Danio rerio: one gene and its partners. The protein of the gene in region 3 purifies or fractionates together with the protein of the main gene of each other region. This does not show direct contact. Links are inferred from orthologs where the notes say so. Each region holds a gene or a part of one and is shown on either strand. Other genes may lie near its edges.

Region 1 (5,578 bases), on a different chromosome or scaffold from region 3:
GGGTTGCAGCTGGAAGAGCATCTGCTGCGTAAGATATATGCTGGATAAGTTGGTGGTTCATTCCACTGTGGCGACCCCAGACTAATAAAGGGACTAAGCCGAAAAGAAAATGAATGAATAAATAATAATAATAATAATATCAATAATAAAAGTAATCATATTATTATTACTATTATTATTATTAATGTAGAGCTTCACAATTTCTTCAAAAATCTTCTCTTGTAAAAGGTACATTCGAAAATTTATGAATAACAACATAAGCCAAAATAGTATTCAAATCAATTTCAATATGTTTAGCTTTTGTTTCTTCACACATTTTATTGCTAATTTTTGTTTCAAGAATAAGATCCAAGATTTAGAATAAAAAAATGTTCTCCATTTAAAAACAAATGCAGTAGTGAAAGATGACTTCTCTTACAGCAGATTGTAAAATGAACATTTTTGTTAGCGTTGACCAAAACGGATTACACACCGAATTGGCAACAGAGCCAACAGAGGATTCCGTTTGGTCTTAAGTTTTTTTTATATGGGTTATTTTCACTATTTATGATGACATAGCAGTCAAAATAGGACAACCGAGCTCATGTATGGGGTCAATACTAGACCTCTGTCAGAGAGGGGTGGGTCTTCTGAACCACCTGCACCCCCCATGGCTACAGGCCTGACATAGTTTGCCACTTTACCTTATTCTGTTATCCGAAGAGGAAAAATGAAAAAACATATGCTGAATAGGTTGGCGGTTCATTCCACTGTGGCGACCCCTAATTAATAAAAGGACTAAGCCAAAAATGAACGAATGAACATTGGAGTATTCTTTTGACTTGTTTTTTAAAAAAATAACACACACACACACACACACACATAAACACAAACCAAAGTATATGCTGCACATTTCAGTATTCACATATTTTGTTTTACTGTAAGAAACTGAAAATTACCAATAAAAATATGAATTATTATCTTTTTAAAATAAGCTGGTTTCACCCTCTATTCTAAAGAGGGTGGAATGTGCTTCTGTTTAATTAATCTGCATGTATTTTGGCTAGTTTCCACATTCTTTAATGCAATTTACCCTAAATATACTGCATTTTTGACTTAGGCTCATTCATTCACTGACTAATTTTCTTAGCTTAGTCCTTAAATCCATCAGTGGTCACCACAGCAGAATGAACAGCCAACTTATCCAGCATATAATTCACACAGCGGATGCCCTTCCAGCTGCAACCCAGTAGGCAACTGGGAAACATCCATACACATTCATTCACACACATACACTACGGCCAATTTAGTTTATTCAATTCACTTAGCACATGTCTTTGGACTGTTTGGGGGAAACCGGAGCACCCGGAGGAAACCCACACAAACACAGGCAGAACATGCAAACTCCACACAGAAATCCCAGCCGGAATTTCGAACCAGTGACCTTCTTGCTCTTAGACAACAGTGCTAACCACTGAGCCACCGTGTCGCCCTTGCCTTAATCTGTTTTATATTTGTTTCTCTTCTGCTTTTATTTACAATCATTTTTAAATATGAATTATAATGTGACACTGTATGTGTGATATAAGTGCATATATAGGCCTATTTAATAAAACACATCTAATAAGGTGCTATTCTTGCCCTGCTACTTACTTTCACCTAAAGATCCACATGCAGACAAAGAAAGCCTGTACTGAAGCTGACAGTAACATTAGTAAGCAGAACAGACAGACTCAATAATAATATTATGAAAAATCAAACTGAAGACTAAGAGCCAATGTATTTATCTGTTTTTTCATATCACCGCAAATGTATTGGATCAAACCTCTGGCTTGCCACCAACTGCTGTCGTCACGGCCAGCGCCTCGTGCTATTTCTCATGTCAATCAGGCAACACTGACATCTGCCGGTCGGTTTGATAAATGTCGGATATTATTAAAAAACATACGTTAACAAAGACAGATGGACTACATTTGAATTTAAATATGATATAAAAAGAAATTAATGACAAAATGGCCAGATGAAATCATCACCTGCTCATTGTTATAAGAAGAAGAAAGTCACTTTTATTATGCACGCGGCGCCCGTGCGTAAGAACAGCGTGCGCGTGCGTCAAAGAGGAAGAGTCGTAAGTCTCTCCAAAATGGCGACGACCATAGAAAGTGGCAATGCAGGAGCTGCAAATAAGAAAAAACACCTCGGAATCCCTGAAGCAATATTTGTGGTCAGTGCGAAAGGGATATATAGTTAATTTTCATGTCCATGCTGTCGACATGTTTCTGTCTGTGTTGGTTTGTTCGTCTTTAAACGGCTTTAAGTAAGAAAGCGCCTTGTTCTTCTCCTTATAAGGGTGCAGGGATTGCTTGCTCATGTCTTGAATGTGAGCTTTGAGTGACAGAGAACATGTGAATAACTGGCTCTCAAAAACCGCTTTGTTAATTATAAGCCTTAATTAACCAGATGTGAAACACATTGTGTGTTCTGTAGGAAGATGTGGACGCCTTCATGAAGCAGCCGGGCAATGACACAGCAGACGCCGTGCTGAGGAAGCTGGATGAACAATATCAGAAATATAAATACATGGAGCTCAATCTGGGGCAGAAGAAACTCAGGTTTGGTTTTGATCTGTTCTACGTTGTGCTGTAAAAAGAAGTCAATCTTTCAGTCACAAATTACAATAAGATTTCATTGGGTAATGTATTTACTGACACAACCAATGATTAACAACACTTGCACAGCATTTATTGATCATAGTTCTACATAAATGTACTAATGCATCAATAACATCCAAATTTATGCTTAATATTAGTTAATGTATCGTGAGTTAACATGAACTAACAATGAACAACTGTATTTTCATGAACTACTGTTAACGAACATCTAATACTGTCATAAATGTATGTTTCATTGTTTGTTTATGTTAGTATATGCATTAACTAATAAAACCTTACTGTAAAGTGCTCTGGATAGCATGCGTATATGTGGCTACAAGTTGTTTTTGCAGACTATAATTGTTGACATTTTTTCCCTCTGTTTCAGGTTGAAAAGCCAAATTCCACAAATCAAACAGACATTAGAAATCCTACGGCACATGCAGAAAAAGAAGGTAAGCTCATTTCTTAATTAATGGTGATTTAAAAAGAAAATTTGTCTCAAAATTGCTTCACAGAAACAAATCAAAGTTCAGTCTAAAATTACTTAAAATGATTTCTCAAAGTTATTTACTGCTTTTAGGATTTCTTTCATGTACTCCTTGTGAGAAGTATATATATATATATATATATATATATATATATATATATATATATTTATATATATACTTTTTTTAATAAATGTATATAAATATTTTTTTTGTAGTGTGTTGCAGAAGAGCAGTCACATATTAGATCACGTGTCATAATTGTGTCTTTAACATACACATAAATGTGTCTATTCATCATAAACTGGCCTGTCAATCAGCCTGTCATTTAAAGTCAGTCTTTTTCTCTATACATGTTATAGATCTTTTTGTGCTCTTTTGCTTCTAGGGCTGTGTAATTGAGGGGAAAAATGAACATTTCAATATTTTATTTTTCATCTTTGTAAACAAATGATCTTAATACAATAAATCATATAAGCATAATTAAGGTGATTTTGTTTTTTAATATTATAATATTAACAGAGGTTTTTTAATATTATAATCAAAAACAAATTATTACAATACAGTAAGATAGTTATGAAATTCGCCCTAAAATTACATTTTAAATGATAAATTTTTGAGATGCAGCAAGTGTATTGTTCTGCTTCACCAGAATTCCTCTTTATTTATTTTTATTTATGCATATCAAATCAAAGGACACCACAGATCCCATGGAGACACATTTTCTGTTGGCTGATAACGTCTACTGCAAGGCCTCTGTTCCACCTACAGATAAAGTGTGCTTGTGGCTTGGGGTAAGTGTTGAATGTTGAGTCCTGATGCATTTGATGTGAGCATGAAATCAAAATAATTATTATCTATCAAGATAATTATCTTTTAATTTAATGGTTTATTATAAGACCAAGTGTGGTACTGATTTTTGTTTTTTTACTACCCTGTGTCACTGCATTACATTATGAGCTGTGAAATCCTTGTTGTGTTGACTAAAACAACTGCTTTAAAAAGCATGTGTGAAAGTGTTGACGATCATTGCCTTTGTTTTGCTCTTTTGTACTGCTTATGAACTCATGAAACCTCTTCATCACTTGTAGCGTACCGGGTTCCCACATGTCTTAAAATTACTAGAATTTTATAATGTTTATTCCAGATATTGTCAGTAGGGATGTAACGATATTAAAACCGACCCGAAATATCACAATACACCAACCACGATACGTATCTTGAAACTCGTGGCATACCGCGATATTCTTATGCCCCCTGCTGCCCATTGTTGAGGTTGACATCACTTGTCTCTAACTAATTGAACCAATTTAAACATATTTATCACATTTGATTAAATTGTTTTAGTAATGATGAGCTTTTGTTTTAAATATTATATTCTTAAGTTAGTATTTTCCAAGTGCATGTCATGTGATGTGACTTAAGAAAGCATCACACTCAGTTACTACTGTATGCAGGATGGCTGCTTCACACAGTACTGAGATTCCAGATCCCCCAGACACATTTAAGTCATCTGTGTGGGAACATTTTGGTTTTCCAGTGGAGTACTGGAATGGAATTTGTGTCGTAGACAAAGCACACGTCTATCTATCGTAACTGTTTCACAACTTACACAAAACCTCACAATGTGAGGGTGTAAGCAACAGAACTGCCAACTAAAGTGATTTAATCTACAAAAGTGAAACCAGAAAAATGCCCAAATATATACAAAAAAGAGAAATATTTACACTAATAAAAATAATATAATAAAGTAGCAAATTCAAACAAAGGATCAAACAAAAATGAGTTAAACTTGAGTAAGGGGACAATTGTGAAGCCAAGCAAAAGAAAGAAATATAACAAAACAATTTTAACTCATGAATAACCGCTCTTAACTTGCTAAAACTGATGAAAAGATAAAAAGGTCTTCAGCGCAGTGCGCCGCAGTCTTCCCTATACTGTACTGTAAAATAAAATAAATACAAAGATGATCTTTACCTCTTACCTGATGTCTTTAACAATACATTTTCAACGTGTTTGCAAAATGGAAATCGTATGACATCTTCCCTATCCACCTTACTCTGAGAAAAGAGTGAACTTGAGTAGGTAAACCTCAGTATTGTTGGGAAGGAGCCAAGGCAAAAAATAACATACAAATCAATTGAAATAAAAATATAAAAACCTCACAAAATTTCTCAACGTGGGCAAAAGTAATGCAAAATAATTTTGCCCAAACGAAAGTTAAGCAAAAACAACAAAAATCATAATCGTGTCAGAAAATGCACGAAAAACGAGATCAAAGGAAAAAGCGCTTTCTCTCCCGCTCTTCCCGACATGCTTTTTATATTCCCGCGCTTTGTCGCCAAATGATGATAGATCGGTCTCCTGACCAATCAGCTGTCATAAAGGCGGACCTACAGAAATAACCAGCATGGAGGGAGCAGGAGAGAGAAAACGGGAGGCAAAAATACAGCCGACTAC
Region 2 (4,660 bases), on a different chromosome or scaffold from region 3:
CTTTTAGTCAACTTAAAGAGACAGTTCACTCAATTTTTTAATTCTCGCATCATTTATTCAACCTTCACTTGTTTGAAGCATGTTTGACTTTCTTTTTTCTGTTAAACACTAAAGAAGACAATTTGATGAATGCTGATAGCTGGCACCCACTGACTTCCATAATAATTAGTTTTACTTCTATGGAAGTCGGTGGATGCCAGCAATCAGCATTCTTCAAAATATCTTCTTTAGTGTTCAACAAAAAAAAAAAATTTAGTTTTGAACAGATAAGAGACTGATTGATAAGGTCATTTTAATTTTGATGTGAACTATCCCTTCTCATATTAATGTGGCGATGTCATTGGCCCATGAACATTTCCGGCTTGTTATCAAACTATTTCAGAACTGTAAAGTAAGGCAACTCAATCATACCATAATGTTAAAACAGCTATCATAATATTATTTATTAATATGTGTCTCTTTTTGGATTATCAGAAGCTTTAGAAATGAAAAATGTAAAACAGGAAATACATTGGGACCATTGTTTTTGTTTACACCCCTCATTGTTTACAATAGTAAATTAAAGGATTAATCGCCACCTCTGAAAATGTAAACTTAAAAAATAAATTCTTAGACATTTATTTTATGAGGTCTTTTTAACTTTATTTATTTATTTGCTTTATTAGCTAAATCAAGTAGGATTAGAACCTGCAACCAGTGCTTAATTTGAGCCGGATCCTGTTCCGGAAAATTCCCTTCCAGTAATATTTTGAGTCATCCGGCATTAACATGTGCTTAGTGAATACCTGCATCTGTGTGTGTGAGAGATTGTGAATGAGTGCCAGTGAAAAACACAAAGCAACGCTGTGTGGATTGTGTACACCCACACACATAAAGGTCGTCACCAAGCCAAAGTTAAAGCAGAAGGCATGTTTTACTATTGGCCCTCAACAATATTTTTGACCAGTCAGCTTTCTTGCATTTACAGTCACTCTCATTGGTTGATGATTACTGTTTTAAAAATAAATAATGGGATAGTGGCCTACCTAAATTATATTTGTATTTTCAAAATGGCAAAGAGGAAGTATGTTTTTAAAACAGTAAATCTAATAATGAGCCTGATTAAAAAAAGATCTCTGGAAGATGGAACTGCATCCCTGGATCAGGATAGCGGGAGACAGAAGCAAAGCAATCAAGTCAGGCAAAAAACAGGATGGAAGAGGTAACCGTGGGCTGTTCTTGAAGATTAGACGGTGAGTATTTTAATTTTTTTTTCCACTTGTCACATAATAGTGAAGTGAAATGAAAGTCAGTGGTATTAGTAAACTGATCACCATTGGTGCTATCACCGTTTAGTGATGTCATGTTCCTGGAAACCTGAAATTGTGGTGGGTGCCGGTCACAGTAACTTTTATATCCTGGTATTGTTCTGGAAATTGTTCATTTACAAATTAAGCACTGCATGCATCCTTTGCTATTTGCTCAAAACACTATAACTGTGCCAACAAGAAACATTCACCTCAATACTGAACCCAAATTGAAGGAACTCATAAAAAAAAATGTTTCTTCTTTTTTTTATTTTGACATCAGTGCCTTTCAATTCTCTCATTCTGGACATTTCATTCGTCCCCCAAAAACCACCTGGATGCAACACCTCAAGAACTTGATTAAACGTAACAAGATGTGAAACTGAACAGACATCACTGGAGTAAACCGGACAAGATTTGTAGAAATGTCCTGTCCTGTTAGAGATGGACAGTCTATGAGGTCAAGTCCACCAGCTAAAGGTTTCAGCTCTCGTCCGCCTCTAAGTTGATGTTGTTTCCAAACTTGGCGTATAATTGAACCTTTAAATCTCCCAGGACCCCCTGTATGGATGAGACGCGACCTTCCAGAGCCTTGATCTCTTCCTGCAGAGCTTCCTGTGGATAACAGGAGATCAGCAAACAGGGTTCAAAGCAGACATTGGGCTAGTATAAATTGAAAAAAGAATTGTTTCTGCAAAGCAAAGACAAGTAGAGGCCATTTATCTGGAAACTTGTTTATTTACTTATCCGGAAAGTATTCATAGCGCTTCACTTTTTCCACATTTTTTATGTTACAGCCTAGAGCTGCACAATTAATCGAAAAAAGATTGTGAAAAAAGATTCGACCCCCTAGACCAGTGGTTCTCAAACTTTTTTCACCAAGTACCACCTTAGAAAAAAATCGTCTCTCCAAGTACCACCTTACGACGCTATTTTTTTAACCAGTATTAAAAAATAGCGTCGTAGGCCTAATTAAGCAGCTACAGGTGTGCACAGTTTAAAAACGATGCAGATTACTTCCTATTATTAAGAATATGTATTATTGTCAGTCACTTTAAACATTTTAAATAGTCTGAACATTAACTGTGCTTGCAGATAAAAAAAAAGTTTTAGTTAAAATGTGCTTTTAAAAATTCATTAAAAAATGGCGCTGTTCTTAAAAAGTAAAAAGAAAACTGCTGTACTTAAATCTGAAGTATTCATAGTAGCCTATTCATCAAAAGCTGGAAATGCTGCTTGGACCTTATAAATATAGGCTATATGTCATATTGCTACACTTTCAGACAAATCTTGAAATATATGTTAAATGTATATGACAGGGTTCATACAGGCACAGCCTAATGAAAATGAATTCCAGAACCTTCTTTTTTTTCAAGACTGACATGCTATGTATTGAAGACCTGAAATGTATTCTGTATGCAACCCATAAAATATTGCATAGGAATAGATACAAATAAAAAACATTAAAAATAATATTTATTAATCATATATTAATAATATAATAAACCTGCACTAAATGCTTGTGAAATCTTTTTTGTACTCAAGTAAAAATACTATTGCACTGCTAAAATAACAACATTTTTAGTAAATAATGCTAATATTTGGTAAAAGTACAAAGTACTCTTTTAAAAAGTACTAGTTGGTTACTTTTGAATAAAAAATCAGATTTTCATTATGAAATCACTTTTTTTAAGTGTAAACCTGATTTAATGGTTTGATTGCTTAAATCCCAAAGCTACGTGTATAGGAATATGCACTAACAAAGGAAGTATGGTCGATTTTTCCTTTCATGACAATTAATCTTTTTCAATAGCACTGGTAAAACTACCAAATAATCTTTAAGGCCATAGAGACACTTTTTGCCCATTTTTTAAAAAATATATTTTTAAGCTTTGAAAGGTTAAAGTATATGGTAAAAAGATTTTTATTTAGCCTTTTATTTACATATTTTACACTATTTTTCTTTACAATATGGCAAATTTGTTTCTTCAATAGCTGTACATCACATGTAGATTTTATTTTACACTTGATCTTAATCTAAAATAGAAACGTAAAAAAAATACAAGTACACTGTCAGTAAAAAATAAAACAAATGACTTTATTTTACTTGAGGTATTTGAAATGTGACAACAATACATTTATCAAAGCAGTGCTTTAAGAGTCTTATTGTAAATTTTGATAAATAAACAATAAGTAACAATGGATTGCTTTGATCTGTAATGCTTTAGGACAGATCAGAATACAGCTAAATGTATAAATCACACATATACCTCATCCAGAAACATTTCCAGCATAATTCTTTTGTCGTAAAGAAACAAAAAAGCTCCACCTTTGCTAAAGTTTCACTTGACAACACAGCCAAATAAGAAGACCATTAGCATTGTTATCGATCATGCATCAATCTATTTCTAAATACTTCATAACTTTAAATACTTTTGACTAAATTTAGTCAAGGAGCAAAGATAAATAATGTCTACTTTAATAGTGGAAAGATCGCGATTGTATTCAATCTGAGCACACAGGCGATCATGAGAGGACTTGCAGTTCATTTGAAAAAAAGCCTATTTAAGAGCTCGCATATCTGTTTTAGTGATTTGCGTACATGAATGGGCTCTCGTGTTAAAATAAAGCACTCGCCACGTTTGCAGAAATAAGTAATTGCGCAATACCTCCATTCCCGCGCCGCCATTCAGAATGTATTTAGAGGAGTGACAGGTCAGAGGCGAGTCGACTGGCTGTCGGAGAGCGAAACGTGTTTGTTGATCATCAAAAAGGCAGGAAATATGTCCGCGGTTTAATTACTCTGCTAGACATATCTATAGTGAAAACATCCGAGAAGCATTATTCCAACAAAACATTTGTTTTTAAGTAGTTTTTTCTGTCTCTGCAACACAGAAAGCATTTGTCCCGCCCTTACGTTTCACGCAACTAGACAAGGTCGACTGTGATTGGCTACTTTTCATGTCAGTCAAATCACGCTTCAGAATCTATTCTTAAACTTCGGAAACTGATTTATAGCAGCTTATGACACAATGCACTAAAATAAACACTCTAAGCACAGCGCTGTGATCGTACACTTCACAAAACAGCCAATGCTGATCACATCGATGTTATATTACACATTTGAGGATTAAAAGTGTTAATTGTTTCTTTCATTATTCAGCGATTCCTCCGCGTACCACTAGGAGGAAGCCCGCGTACCACTAGTGGTACGCGTACCACAGTTTGAGAACCACTGCCCTAGACGATCTTAATCCTACGATTCTGCCAATCATGTTTTCAAGTTCAGGAGAGAAGCAAAGGCGGCTGTACGAGTCTTTTCATTGTTACACACACGTTGCTCAGCGACATGGACACCTCCAAATGATGTTAAA
Region 3 (5,664 bases):
ACTTGTAAAATTAGCTGAAACAACACAACTCTTGTGTTTTTTTAGCGACAACTTAATTGTTTTATGTTCAATGCACTTCAGTTTGTAAAAACATTTAAGTTAACTTAATCCGTTCGATTTGGGACAACATGAAGCAATTGTGTGGAACCCAGCATTTTTTAAAATCTAACCATATACTAACTGAAATGTACCATAAAAGATATAGAACACTCTTAAACTTACCTCCTTTACAATGTTATTTTCAGTCAACTGTGCCTCCAGTTTCTGTCTTGCTGACATACTTTTACTGACATCTGTGAAATAAAATGGCATTAAATTTAGTCTCTAATCGCTACTCTACAGAAATCAGTGCTAAGAAATTATGCCAGCCAACACATTTTATATAAACGATGACATTACAGAATAATAACATTTAAAAAAGGTTTTTAAAAAAGCTATATTTTTATAATTTAAAAATAACATGTATATAAGAAATTGCTATGTTTTTAGTAATGGAAGGGAACAAAACATTTTTTAAATTATATTTAGCATTATTAGAGTTTCAAAATAGACATCACACTTATTTATAACATTTTATGAAATATAACTACATGTGTCACAAACCATTAAATGTCAACAAATACCCTTCTAATATTTTAATACAATATAAAGATATCTTCATGTTAAAAGCTAAACCATGATAGATTAGAATATGTTTCATTTTTACACTATATCTCACACTTTTTGGATAATGTTTTCTGAAAAATATGAATACATGATATGTCTGTTATTTTAAAAAGAAATCAAACACATTAAAGTGAAAGTTTACACAAGTACAATACACTGGTCTGTTTTATAATATGTAGTAATATTATAATTTTGCCTTTCATTAAATATTTTAATTTTAAAATATTTGAGCAATCATGAGACATTAAAATCAAAGCAATTACATATTTTCTATTATCAATAAAATCTATTTTTAATTTAAAATCTAAAGCTTATAATAAGCTACAGTATTATCATTACTGGGCAGCATGGTGGCGCAGTGGGCAGCGCAGTCGCCTCACAGCAAGAAAGTCGCTGATTCAAGCCTCGGCTGGGTCAGTAGGTGAACTGGGTGAGCTAAATTGTTTGTAATGTATGTGTGTGAATGATTGTGTATAGTTTACTAGTGATGGGTTACAGATAGAAGGGCATTCGCTGTGTAAAACGTGCTGGATAAGTTAGCGGTTCATTCCGCTATGGCAACCCCAAATTAATAAAGGGACTAAGCCGAAAAAAATGATGAATGATTTATCATTACTGAAAGTTTTAAAGGTTGATATTGTTTTTATTTCATTCATTTTCTTGTGGGCTTAGTCCCTTTATTCATCCAGGGTCGCCACAGCGGAATGAACCGCCAACTTACCCAGCAAGTTTTTACGCAGCAGATGCCCTTCCAGCCGCAACCCATCTCGGGGAAATGTTTATATTTAATGTTATTTTATTTATATATATTTAATATATATATATATATATATATATATATATATATATATATATATATATATATATATATATATATATATTATCACTAAATTAAATAAAAACAACATCAACATCAACATCAAAGTATGTTGTATACTGTAAACTCGCAGACTTTTTTCGTCACATCCATAACACATGTTTATTTATTTATTTAAAATGTATTTAATTTTTTAAAAATTTACAGATTGATTTTTTCTGCTCCCATGACTCTGTGGTTGGTAGCTTCTCTGGGAATTCATGTTTTGAAATGTGTGTATATGTATGTATATGTATGTATGTATGTATGCATGCATGCATGCATGCATGCATGCATGTATGTATATATATATATATATATATATATATATATATATATATATATATATATATATATATATATACATACACACACACATACATACATACATATATACATACATACATATATACATACATACATATATATATGCATTATTTGGTATATGTTTTTTGAACAATCATGATTTATAAAATCTCAAATTAATTATATTTATTCTAATTTAGTTAAAACTTTTTATTTATTCAAAGATATGTTGCAGGAAATGTGCAAGTGTACACTGGTATAACTTGGCTATATGAATATTCATAATGGTGTTACTATAAATACCAAGAAACTTACACAATGAATCATAAAATAAAATAAAATAGTAAAAGCCTTTTTAAAACGTTCAATAATGAGAATTTGTAGATTGAATGTGGATTTTGTCTAAAATAGCTCTGGGTAGCTAAATCAAGTCCAAATACAACATAACCGTGACATTTGTACTTTATCAGTGCATTGCACTACATAGATATTAAACCTGAATACAACAAATTACTACAAATACGTTAAATATAAATTATTAAAGGAGCACACACATACATATATACACACACATACATACATACATATATACATACATACATATATATATGCATTATTTGGTATATGTTTTTTGAACAATCATGATTTATAAAATCTCAAATTAATTATATTTATTCTAATTTAGTTAAAACTTTTTATTTATTCAAAGATATGTTGCAGGAAATGTGCAAGTGTACACTGGTATAACTTGGCTATATGAATATTCATAATGGTGTTACTATAAATACCAAGAAACTTACACAATGAATCATAAAATAAAATAAAATAGTAAAAGCCTTTTTAAAACGTTCAATAATGAGAATTTGTAGATTGAATGTGGATTTTGTCTAAAATAGCTCTGGGTAGCTAAATCAAGTCCAAATACAACATAACCGTGACATTTGTACTTTATCAGTGCATTGCACTACATAGATATTAAACCTGAATACAACAAATTACTACAAATACGTTAAATATAAATTATTAAAGGAGCCGAACATAAAGATGATTGAGGTAAAGTTGGTTTTATATTCGCACATTCGTTCAGTGAAAACTTGTGACATCCCTACATTGTTTACCATGGTGATTTTGATAGTCAATGGCTGCTAATATGATTTTACCATTTAGAATTGACAAAAATACTTTAATAAGATTTTTAGAGAGAAAGCCAATTTACACAATGAGGTAAAGTTGGTTTTATATTTACACATTCAGACTTTCTCCTATTAAAAATTCCGAAAAGTATTCTGTAGTTAGCAAATCCTAAATAGTGAAACCATATTAGCAGACGATGGCTATCAAATTACACCATTATTCAGTCAAATAAATAGTGATAACGTTAATGTAGTCTTATTTACATGTGATTTCAGACCGAATATTCAAAGTACCATGGTAAACAATATAGGGAGCATGCCACACATTGTCACTGAACGAATGTGCGAATATAAAACCAACTTTGCCTCAATATAAAGATGCCCATGCAGGGAGTGTTGGATTGCTAACTCTGAGCTTTTCGTGCTGTAAGTTACCTTTCTGGAGTTGTTGATATTTCTCCAACTCAGCTTGCAATTTCTTCTGAATCGCTTCAGCCATCACACCTGCTATTCCAATGTCTGACTTATTATTATTGCTAAATAATAAAAATCACGATATTTTATGACAAATGCAGACAGTCAGCAGCACACTACTCAAGCACACAGTCTGAGGCGCACGGGAAATGACGTCATATCATTGCGTCACATGGGGGTTTTACGATAGCTGATAAAAAGAGTTACTTCGCCATCTAGTGTTTAAGAAAAACATACACAATTTTTTTCAGTATTATGTTTATTCACACACCTTTAAATAATTTGCTCTATAATTTTACGCACCATATGTAGATTTAACGCATCAGTTAATGTGATTTTTGGATTAATACGATGGGTACAATTTTTCCAGTATCTAAAAGCGTAGTGCCTCTCCTGTCCATGTGGTGTCAGTCTATCCTCTTCCTCCAAGCCCTCTGTAGTGACAGTCAAGGCAATATGGCAGCGCGCATGGTTCAAATTCTAACGTGAAGGTCTTTTTTCGGGTGTGCGCGACCACATAGAATCACAACAGCAGGTAAAGTCAGTTATATATTTTTTCTATAACACAAGCAAATGTAATGACTGTTCTAAATCTGCACCTTAAGCAGCGTTTTAAACATATGTAGGGTAAAATAGTATCATGTGCTATATTCATCTATTACGAGAATGAACCATGGTTTAAAGAGTTAAGTGTAATCATACTTTTTTTGTCGTATCGATTGTTATTTATAACCACAGTATTACTGAAAGTACTACAGTTTAGCTGGGGTTAGTGTAACAAAACCATGTTGATTTGAGGTTACCATGGTTAGTTTTTGTGGTAAAACCATGGTTAATTTTCGTAATAGATGTCATGATGTTTTAACTTTATCGATATTTGCTAGTAACGTTATTCTTCTTCTTGTGATTCTTCAAAACTTTTTTTATTTTTTTCAATAAAAAAATCAAATTTTCTAAGATGACAAACAAACAAACAACCATTAACCACCATTTAACCATAGTATCTGTGGTAAACCTGTAACGTTAGTTACACTAATAATATGTCTGTCAAAACACGCGCACACACACACTTCCCTTGGTTCAATTTCATAAGGGCAGGAATGAAATAATAGAATAAAACATAAATAATTCATAAATTCTATTGTTTTGTCAGGCAGTCATTTTGAGTGTGGCTATTTTTGCTTTTTTCTATAATGAACCTGATATCTTTGCTGTGAGTTGAATGTGTATTATGAAATGTGTTCATGGTTTTAGAGTTATGACAGAGGTTGTCACTTTGTAAAATTCATATAAAACATTTGTATGATGATTAGTCCTCTGAACCTGCAATTTTAGTTGAAGAAATCACTTTTTTTGGACACTTTAATCTCAGTTGTTTTGATTATGCTTGTTACTTGTGGGAGCGACACAGTAGTTTGTGTCGACACACCAATGTTTCTGGTGGGGTTAATTTTATTTGTTGTGAATACTAGTAGGAACCTAGTATAAACACGGCTAGAGATTGGATACACTTGGGATGTTCTATGTTAGTAAACTGTGTGATGTTTTTCAGAAATTTCTTATTAAAGTCTTATGTTTACATAGAAATTTTATAACTTTTATCATCATTTTTTCATAAATCTGAACAGCTCATTATTGATGTTGTTATAATAAGCATTTATAACAAAGATAAATGCTATTATGACTGACAGGTGCTTATCTGGACATTATTCTGGACCTTATGCTGTATGTTGAGGGAAAAGTGCCTTAAGTTTATTTGATTTGTTTTATTAAGCTTTATTTACAACCCTATCAATTTAAAGGACCCTCAGTACATCCAATATGTGGCAGGCCAATGAAAATTATGAATTTTGTGTTTATGAATTGTCAGTCAAAATCTAGTAACTTAAAATGATTTGTAATATTTTAATTTTAAAAAAGCTGAAACATTAAAATCTTAAATGTTTTAAAAAGTGCCATCTAAAATTTTCTTCTACAATTAGCATTTTTCTCTGCCTCTTATGTTCAATTTCAGTTATTTCATGTTAAAATTGATGAAAATTACCTATTCTTTGCCATACAAATAAAAGTACCGAAGCAAGACATGGGACGCCTGAGAAAAATGCAAGTTTTAGAAAAAAATTTCAGATGCATGGCACTTAGAAGTTTTTACATCTAAACTCTTCATATATTCTTATAATGTTGTGAAAATGCTTATTTATCTATATTGTTTAACTTTAATCTTCGTTT
Region 4 (5,647 bases), on a different chromosome or scaffold from region 3:
CCTTATAAAGTGGCCGCCGAGTGTATATCTTATTTAATTATGACTTTCATAGATTTTTTTTAACAGCAAGTAAAAAATGTTAAAATAAGGTGACCTATCCTTTGTATTTTGATAAGCAGTTCTTTGTCGGACAAGTAGATTTAATATAAGCAACTATATTTGTTTTTTTGCTCATAACCTACCTCAAGCTCTTTTATCTTGTCATCTGCCGTCTTCTGCTTTTCCAAAAGCTGATTAGAGATCTCACCTTTTGACTGCAAAATAAACCTGAATAAAGGAAGGAAGAGAAGGTCAAAACAACAGAGAGTAAAGGGTCCAGATTTGAAACCTCCAGAATTATACATACATCCGTCCTGCTCCCTCAAACATCCGAGTGCTTTCAGGAAGTGATGTAATCTCTCCATGCGTGAGATTTGCGTGCTTCTTTACACGACTCAGCTGTTCGATCTGCAGGTCTGCCAGCTTCACCTTCTGCTGAGTGTCAACCATTTTCGCCTGCAGCTCTGCAAAAGCCTGCAAAGATGCCGAGATTGAGGTTTTGATTAGAAGGAAATCCGCTGTGATATGATGCAAATACAAAGTTGAAGTCAGAATTATTAGCCCCCCTTTGATTTTTTTTCTTTTTTAAATATTTTCCAAATGATGTTTAACAGAGCAAGAACATTTTTACAGCATCTTTGATAATATTTTTATCTTCTGGAAAAAGTGTTATTTGTTTTATTTCGGCTAGAATAAAAGCAGTTTTTAAATTTTAAATGTCACTTTAAGCTGTATAGTAGTGTCTTAAAAAATATCTAGTAATATATTATTTACTGTCATCATGGCAGAGATAAAATAAATCCGTTATTAGAAATGATCTATTAAAACTTTTATGCTTAATTGGGGGAAAAAATTAACAGGGGGGCTAATAATTCTGACTTCAACTGTAAATTTACAATAAAATTTTATTCATTTTTTTCCCTGAATTTGCATAAAATAGCAAAAAACGTGCATACATGTTTATATTCTGTTTTAGAAAACACGTCGCTTCTGATGAGTTAAAAAAAAATCTAAATTTGGCGGAAATGACATTGATTTTTGTTTTCTGAATGAAATACAGGGTTCTGCAGGTTTCACAAAATTAAATTTAGGACATTTTAAGACATTTTTAAGACCATTATGAATGCAATTTTAGACTTATACAGAACTTAATGCTGAGGATTTTTTATATCCAAGTTAGAAAAGATTTTCACTTGCTAGATAAAAAAAATATTAACATTGAATACAGGAAATATTATGTTTCAATATTTTTTTTATAAATTTTCAAAAATATTCATCTACAAACCCAATAATCAGGGCCAGACAGAATCTGCTGACATTTTTGCTATTTCTGCTGAGAAATTTGTAAAATAAAAAAATAAAAAAATAAAACAGCTGATTTTTGTGGAATGATTATGGTTATAGCGTCATAACTAAAAACTTAATACATGAAATAAAAGCAACAGCTTTTTAGCTCTTATGTTTACAATGCAAATCCAACTAGATCCACGTATTTAGTAAACAAAGCAAGTTTCTCATAATACATCCACTAAAAGACAGAAAATATTACTCTAAAAACTGAATTGTAAATACATCATATGAACATTTTAATATTACTATTGTTATATCACAATAATATTATTGAAAACAATTTAAAACTGAATAAATATAATTTTATACACATTTATACAAGTAAATAAATAGACTCAATGATGGGCTAAAAGTCTGCGGAAATTTGCATGCGCAGATTCCGTGTGGGCCTTCCTATAACCCTTACCAAGAATAGAACAAAGCATAGCTGTCAATTACTTCCGTCTACAATAATAATATTTTAATAATACAAAATGTAGGTCAGGTCAGCAACCACAGCGGTATATAAAGTGGAGTACTTTTTAACAAATGTTACTGTGAGAAAAGTAATTAAATGCTATTTTTAAATAAAACGTTAAAAGTTTTATTGAGATTGGGATTGTTGGTGATTGTTGAGTGTTAATGGCCAGATTGGGTAGTTATTCATGAACATAGGAAAATTAAGACCTGCTAAAAAATATTTAAGACCTACAACACAATATTTTAGTAAATCTAATACTTTTTAAGGCCTAAAATTTTGTTTTTGAGATTTAAGACATTTTAAGACTTTTTAAGACCCCACAGATATCCTGGAAATAACACAGATTTTGTTTCTATTTATAAAAGCTTTATATTTATAATTTGTATGTGTCATCAAATGAGTAATTGTGATTATTGCATTGCAAAATGAATGCAAATAAAATATCTTATGTATATATTAATATATTAATACACATTCATTTAAAAAAAAATGTTTATTTATAATTATCTATCATTAATGTTTGCATATAATACTAATTATACATAAATATAACTGTATTTTTATAATAATAAATCATCTATAGATATAATAAAAAATATTATTTTGTATGTTACTAATTACGATTAAACATTTGACAGCTCTTTTTGACAGCACAATAATAACATTTTTTTCACATTCATATGTAATACAGCAAATTCAGCATTTCCTATAGCTGTAACTGTTATATTTAAACAATTTATATGTTGTTATATGTTGTTGCAGTTGGTAGGGCATTCGTTATGTAAAACATGTGCTGGATAAGTTGGCGATTCGTTCCACTGTGGCGACCCCTGATGAATAAAGAGAAGCCGAAGTAAAATGAATGAATGAATGAATTAGTTGTGACAAATTTGGTGCCACTAATAAATCTTTCCCAGGTTTTCAACATAAATTCTAGAACAAAAATAAGACACTTAGAAAGTCACAACATATAATCTATAAATATATATAAAATATACATAAATATAGACATCACTAAATATTTTGTAAATAAAAAATATTATTTTGCATGTGACTAATTATGATTAAACATTTGACAGCTCTTTTTGACAGCACAATAATAAATTTTTTATCAAATTCATATGTAATACAGCAAATCCAGCATTTCCTATAGCTGTAACAGTTATATTTCAACAAATTATGTCATATATATATATATATATATATATATATATATATATATATATATATATATGGATAAGCAAAAACTAAAGAATAAGCCATATTGAAAGCTTCCTATAGCATGTAATGATGTGTTGATAGATTGATATGTGTTTGGATATTCATTTCTAAAGGATTTACAGTGGTAAACTATAAATATGACGTTGCACATCTTTATAACAAACAATACACATTAAAAGGATTCGCATGCACCTACGTTACACACTGACAGATCGCGTTGCTTAAACAGTTTTATACCTTACTTCTGCTCCACAAAAGCTTAATAACATTTATTCAGTATTTTATCATAACAAAGTAACAACTCTGTTTGGTTTTTAGATATAAAACCAAAAACCACCCTTTACCTTCTTCAACTCGAGGTCTACGGGAGCCGCCATGATGCTAAGTGGTACGAGTCCCTGCGCATGCGCGAAACAAAGAGCTTGTTGCAAAACCTAGTGAGCGGCCTACATAGACAACATTTTCAATGTCAGACAGGCAGGCAATCCACAATAAATGTTCACTAAAAAGGCAGCTCGGTAGTTTTGCAGACACGGTAAGTTTGTGGACTACTTTCAATCTCAAAACAGTGCAACAGAAATGACAGTATATGATAAAGGTTTCAGCGTTATACCAATGTTAGCGTCAAAATGTTTAGAAGCTGACTCTTAATTTAAGCGGACTTTAAGCGGACTTATTTTTAGTGTCTATTATTGTGTGCTACATGTAAAATGTGTCACCCCAGTGGCAACATTGCTCAAGATTTTTTTATTACTATTAACGTGTTGTTTTGTATTGTAAAGTCGTGTATGTTCTGCATTTTAACTCCTGTTAACACTCTGTTTGGTTTCCTCAGGAGACAAATGATGGTAAACCAACTTGAGACTTAAATCTCCAAGCTAAAGACAAGTATATCAGATGTAGTAATGACAACACAATATTTTTATAACTTCACACAGTGAGTGTTTAAACTTTACAACATACATCTGTATATCTGCAGATTTATATCCGACACACTAAAATTTTATAAATAAAAAATAGTAAATCTAAATAATAAAAATAGTTTTATTATTGGTTGTGGGACGACACGGTGGCTTAGTGGATAGCACTGTCTTCTCACAGCAAGAAGATCTCTGGTTCGAGTCCCAGCTGGGTCAGTGGGCAATTCTTTGGAGTTTGCATGTTCTCTCCATGTTGGCGTGGGTTTCCTCAGGGTGCGCCGGTTTCCCCCACAGTTCAAAGACATGCAGTGAATTGAATAAACTAAATTGGTACTGTATGTGTGTGAATTTAATGAGTGTTTATGTATCTTGTCCAGTACTGGGTTGCAGTTATTAGGGCATTTGTTGTGTAAAACATGTGCTGGTTAGTGATTCATTCCACTGGGGCAAACCCCTGATAAATAAAGAGACTAAGCCGAAGTAAAATGAATGAATTAATTAGTTGTGACAAATACGGTGCCACTTATGAATCTTTCCCAGGTTTTCAACAAAAATAAGAGACACTTAGAAAGTCACAATAGTTTATTAAACAGCAGAAATTTGTTACCATTGCTTGAAATTAGTACATGAAATCATGTAATTTATACTAAACGCATAAAACAAACACACTAATAAACGTATTCCATTTTATTTCACTTAATTTAAGCTACACTTTCTCAGTAATACATATAAAAAAGGCTTAAGCCCTGCGTCTGACATTCCTGCAGAGTACATTTATTTGATTGCATTCGCAAATGTTTAATTCACAGTTTAGCTAAAATATTATTCAAACCGTACTGTCCTCCGAATGCGATTGTAAAGTTTGCGATGCAACTTCAGTCCTATTAGAACATTAATTGATTGTATTCATCGATAATAAATATCTATACAATAAAAACACATTTACAAAACTCGCAGTGCATTCAGTACACACAATTGTTACGTATCAAAATAAATAACAAATACATTATAAATAAATAATTACAAGTGCTTTGTGGCGTTTTTGACAGTACTACAGATTCAGACTGATGGGAGAAACCAGAAACTCAGCTTTTCAACATAAATAAATAAGCAACGAACAAAAAAGCAACTTTGATTGAAGTCGCGATACATTCATCATTTTCAGTCCTGTCTGCATGATCTCCATGACAGTACTGTACATGTACTGCACACGGGGCAGTGTTTAAAGCATCCTTCATGCCAGTTTAGACAGACACCAATACTGCAGGACATCAGGGGCGCACAACAAATACGAAGAGGTGCAAAGATTGTGGAGAAATAATGATTACCACTAGGAATAATGCAGAAATCATGCCCTTGATGAGATGTATAGTGCTGTCTATCCATGGGTCACATGACCTTTTGGCTTTCTTTATCCTGAAAAACATTTATTAAAAATGTATATATAAATGTTTGGAATTTTCATTTATTTTAATAAAAGCAAGATATTATACTATAAAAGTAAACAAAAACTACTTAGACATGTTTAAAACTAATTAAATCTCTCTATATAAACACACACAACACATAGACACGCATACATACTTATATTTGAGAGTTCAGATGCAAAAACCTCTAAATCACACCTCAAATGTCTTTCAAAAACAAGCATTTTTCT

What was found.
Region 1: the proteins of pfdn6 (region 3) and vbp1 purify together in Homo sapiens (affinity purification with mass spectrometry; 6 studies listed by BioGRID and IntAct, counting the BioPlex papers as one, with this or other methods). This does not show direct contact. The link is inferred for Danio rerio from reciprocal best matches to the Homo sapiens genes PFDN6 and VBP1.
Region 2: the proteins of pfdn6 (region 3) and pfdn4 purify together in Homo sapiens (affinity purification with mass spectrometry; 6 studies listed by BioGRID and IntAct, counting the BioPlex papers as one, with this or other methods). This does not show direct contact. The link is inferred for Danio rerio from reciprocal best matches to the Homo sapiens genes PFDN6 and PFDN4.
Region 4: the proteins of pfdn6 (region 3) and pfdn1 purify together in Homo sapiens (affinity purification with mass spectrometry; 6 studies listed by BioGRID and IntAct, with this or other methods). This does not show direct contact. The link is inferred for Danio rerio from reciprocal best matches to the Homo sapiens genes PFDN6 and PFDN1.

The regions. Positions count from the first base shown.
Region 1 is NC_133182.1:23,875,354-23,880,931, reverse strand, and holds the start of vbp1 (prefoldin subunit 3), read left to right. Parts: upstream 1-2,098; 5' UTR 2,099-2,122; coding exon 2,123-2,203; intron 2,204-2,466; coding exon 2,467-2,591; intron 2,592-3,018; coding exon 3,019-3,085; intron 3,086-3,813; coding exon 3,814-3,912; intron 3,913-5,578. UniProt on the Homo sapiens protein: Binds specifically to cytosolic chaperonin (c-CPN) and transfers target proteins to it. Binds to nascent polypeptide chain and promotes folding in an environment in which there are many competing pathways for nonnative proteins.
Region 2 is NC_133198.1:41,416,025-41,420,684, forward strand, and holds the end of pfdn4 (prefoldin subunit 4), read right to left. Parts: exon of another isoform or gene 4,526-4,660; intron 2,136-4,525; exon of another isoform or gene 1,902-2,135; coding exon 1,770-1,901; 3' UTR 1,214-1,769; downstream 1-1,213. UniProt on the Homo sapiens protein: Binds specifically to cytosolic chaperonin (c-CPN) and transfers target proteins to it. Binds to nascent polypeptide chain and promotes folding in an environment in which there are many competing pathways for nonnative proteins.
Region 3 is NC_133189.1:35,059,560-35,065,223, forward strand, and holds the start of pfdn6 (prefoldin subunit 6), read right to left. Parts: upstream 3,497-5,664; 5' UTR 3,461-3,496; coding exon 3,397-3,460; intron 294-3,396; coding exon 223-293; intron 1-222. UniProt on the Homo sapiens protein: Binds specifically to cytosolic chaperonin (c-CPN) and transfers target proteins to it. Binds to nascent polypeptide chain and promotes folding in an environment in which there are many competing pathways for nonnative proteins.
Region 4 is NC_133196.1:32,811,184-32,816,830, forward strand, and holds the start of pfdn1 (prefoldin subunit 1), read right to left. Parts: upstream 3,461-5,647; 5' UTR 3,448-3,460; coding exon 3,415-3,447; intron 514-3,414; coding exon 347-513; intron 268-346; coding exon 183-267; intron 1-182. UniProt on the Homo sapiens protein: Binds specifically to cytosolic chaperonin (c-CPN) and transfers target proteins to it. Binds to nascent polypeptide chain and promotes folding in an environment in which there are many competing pathways for nonnative proteins.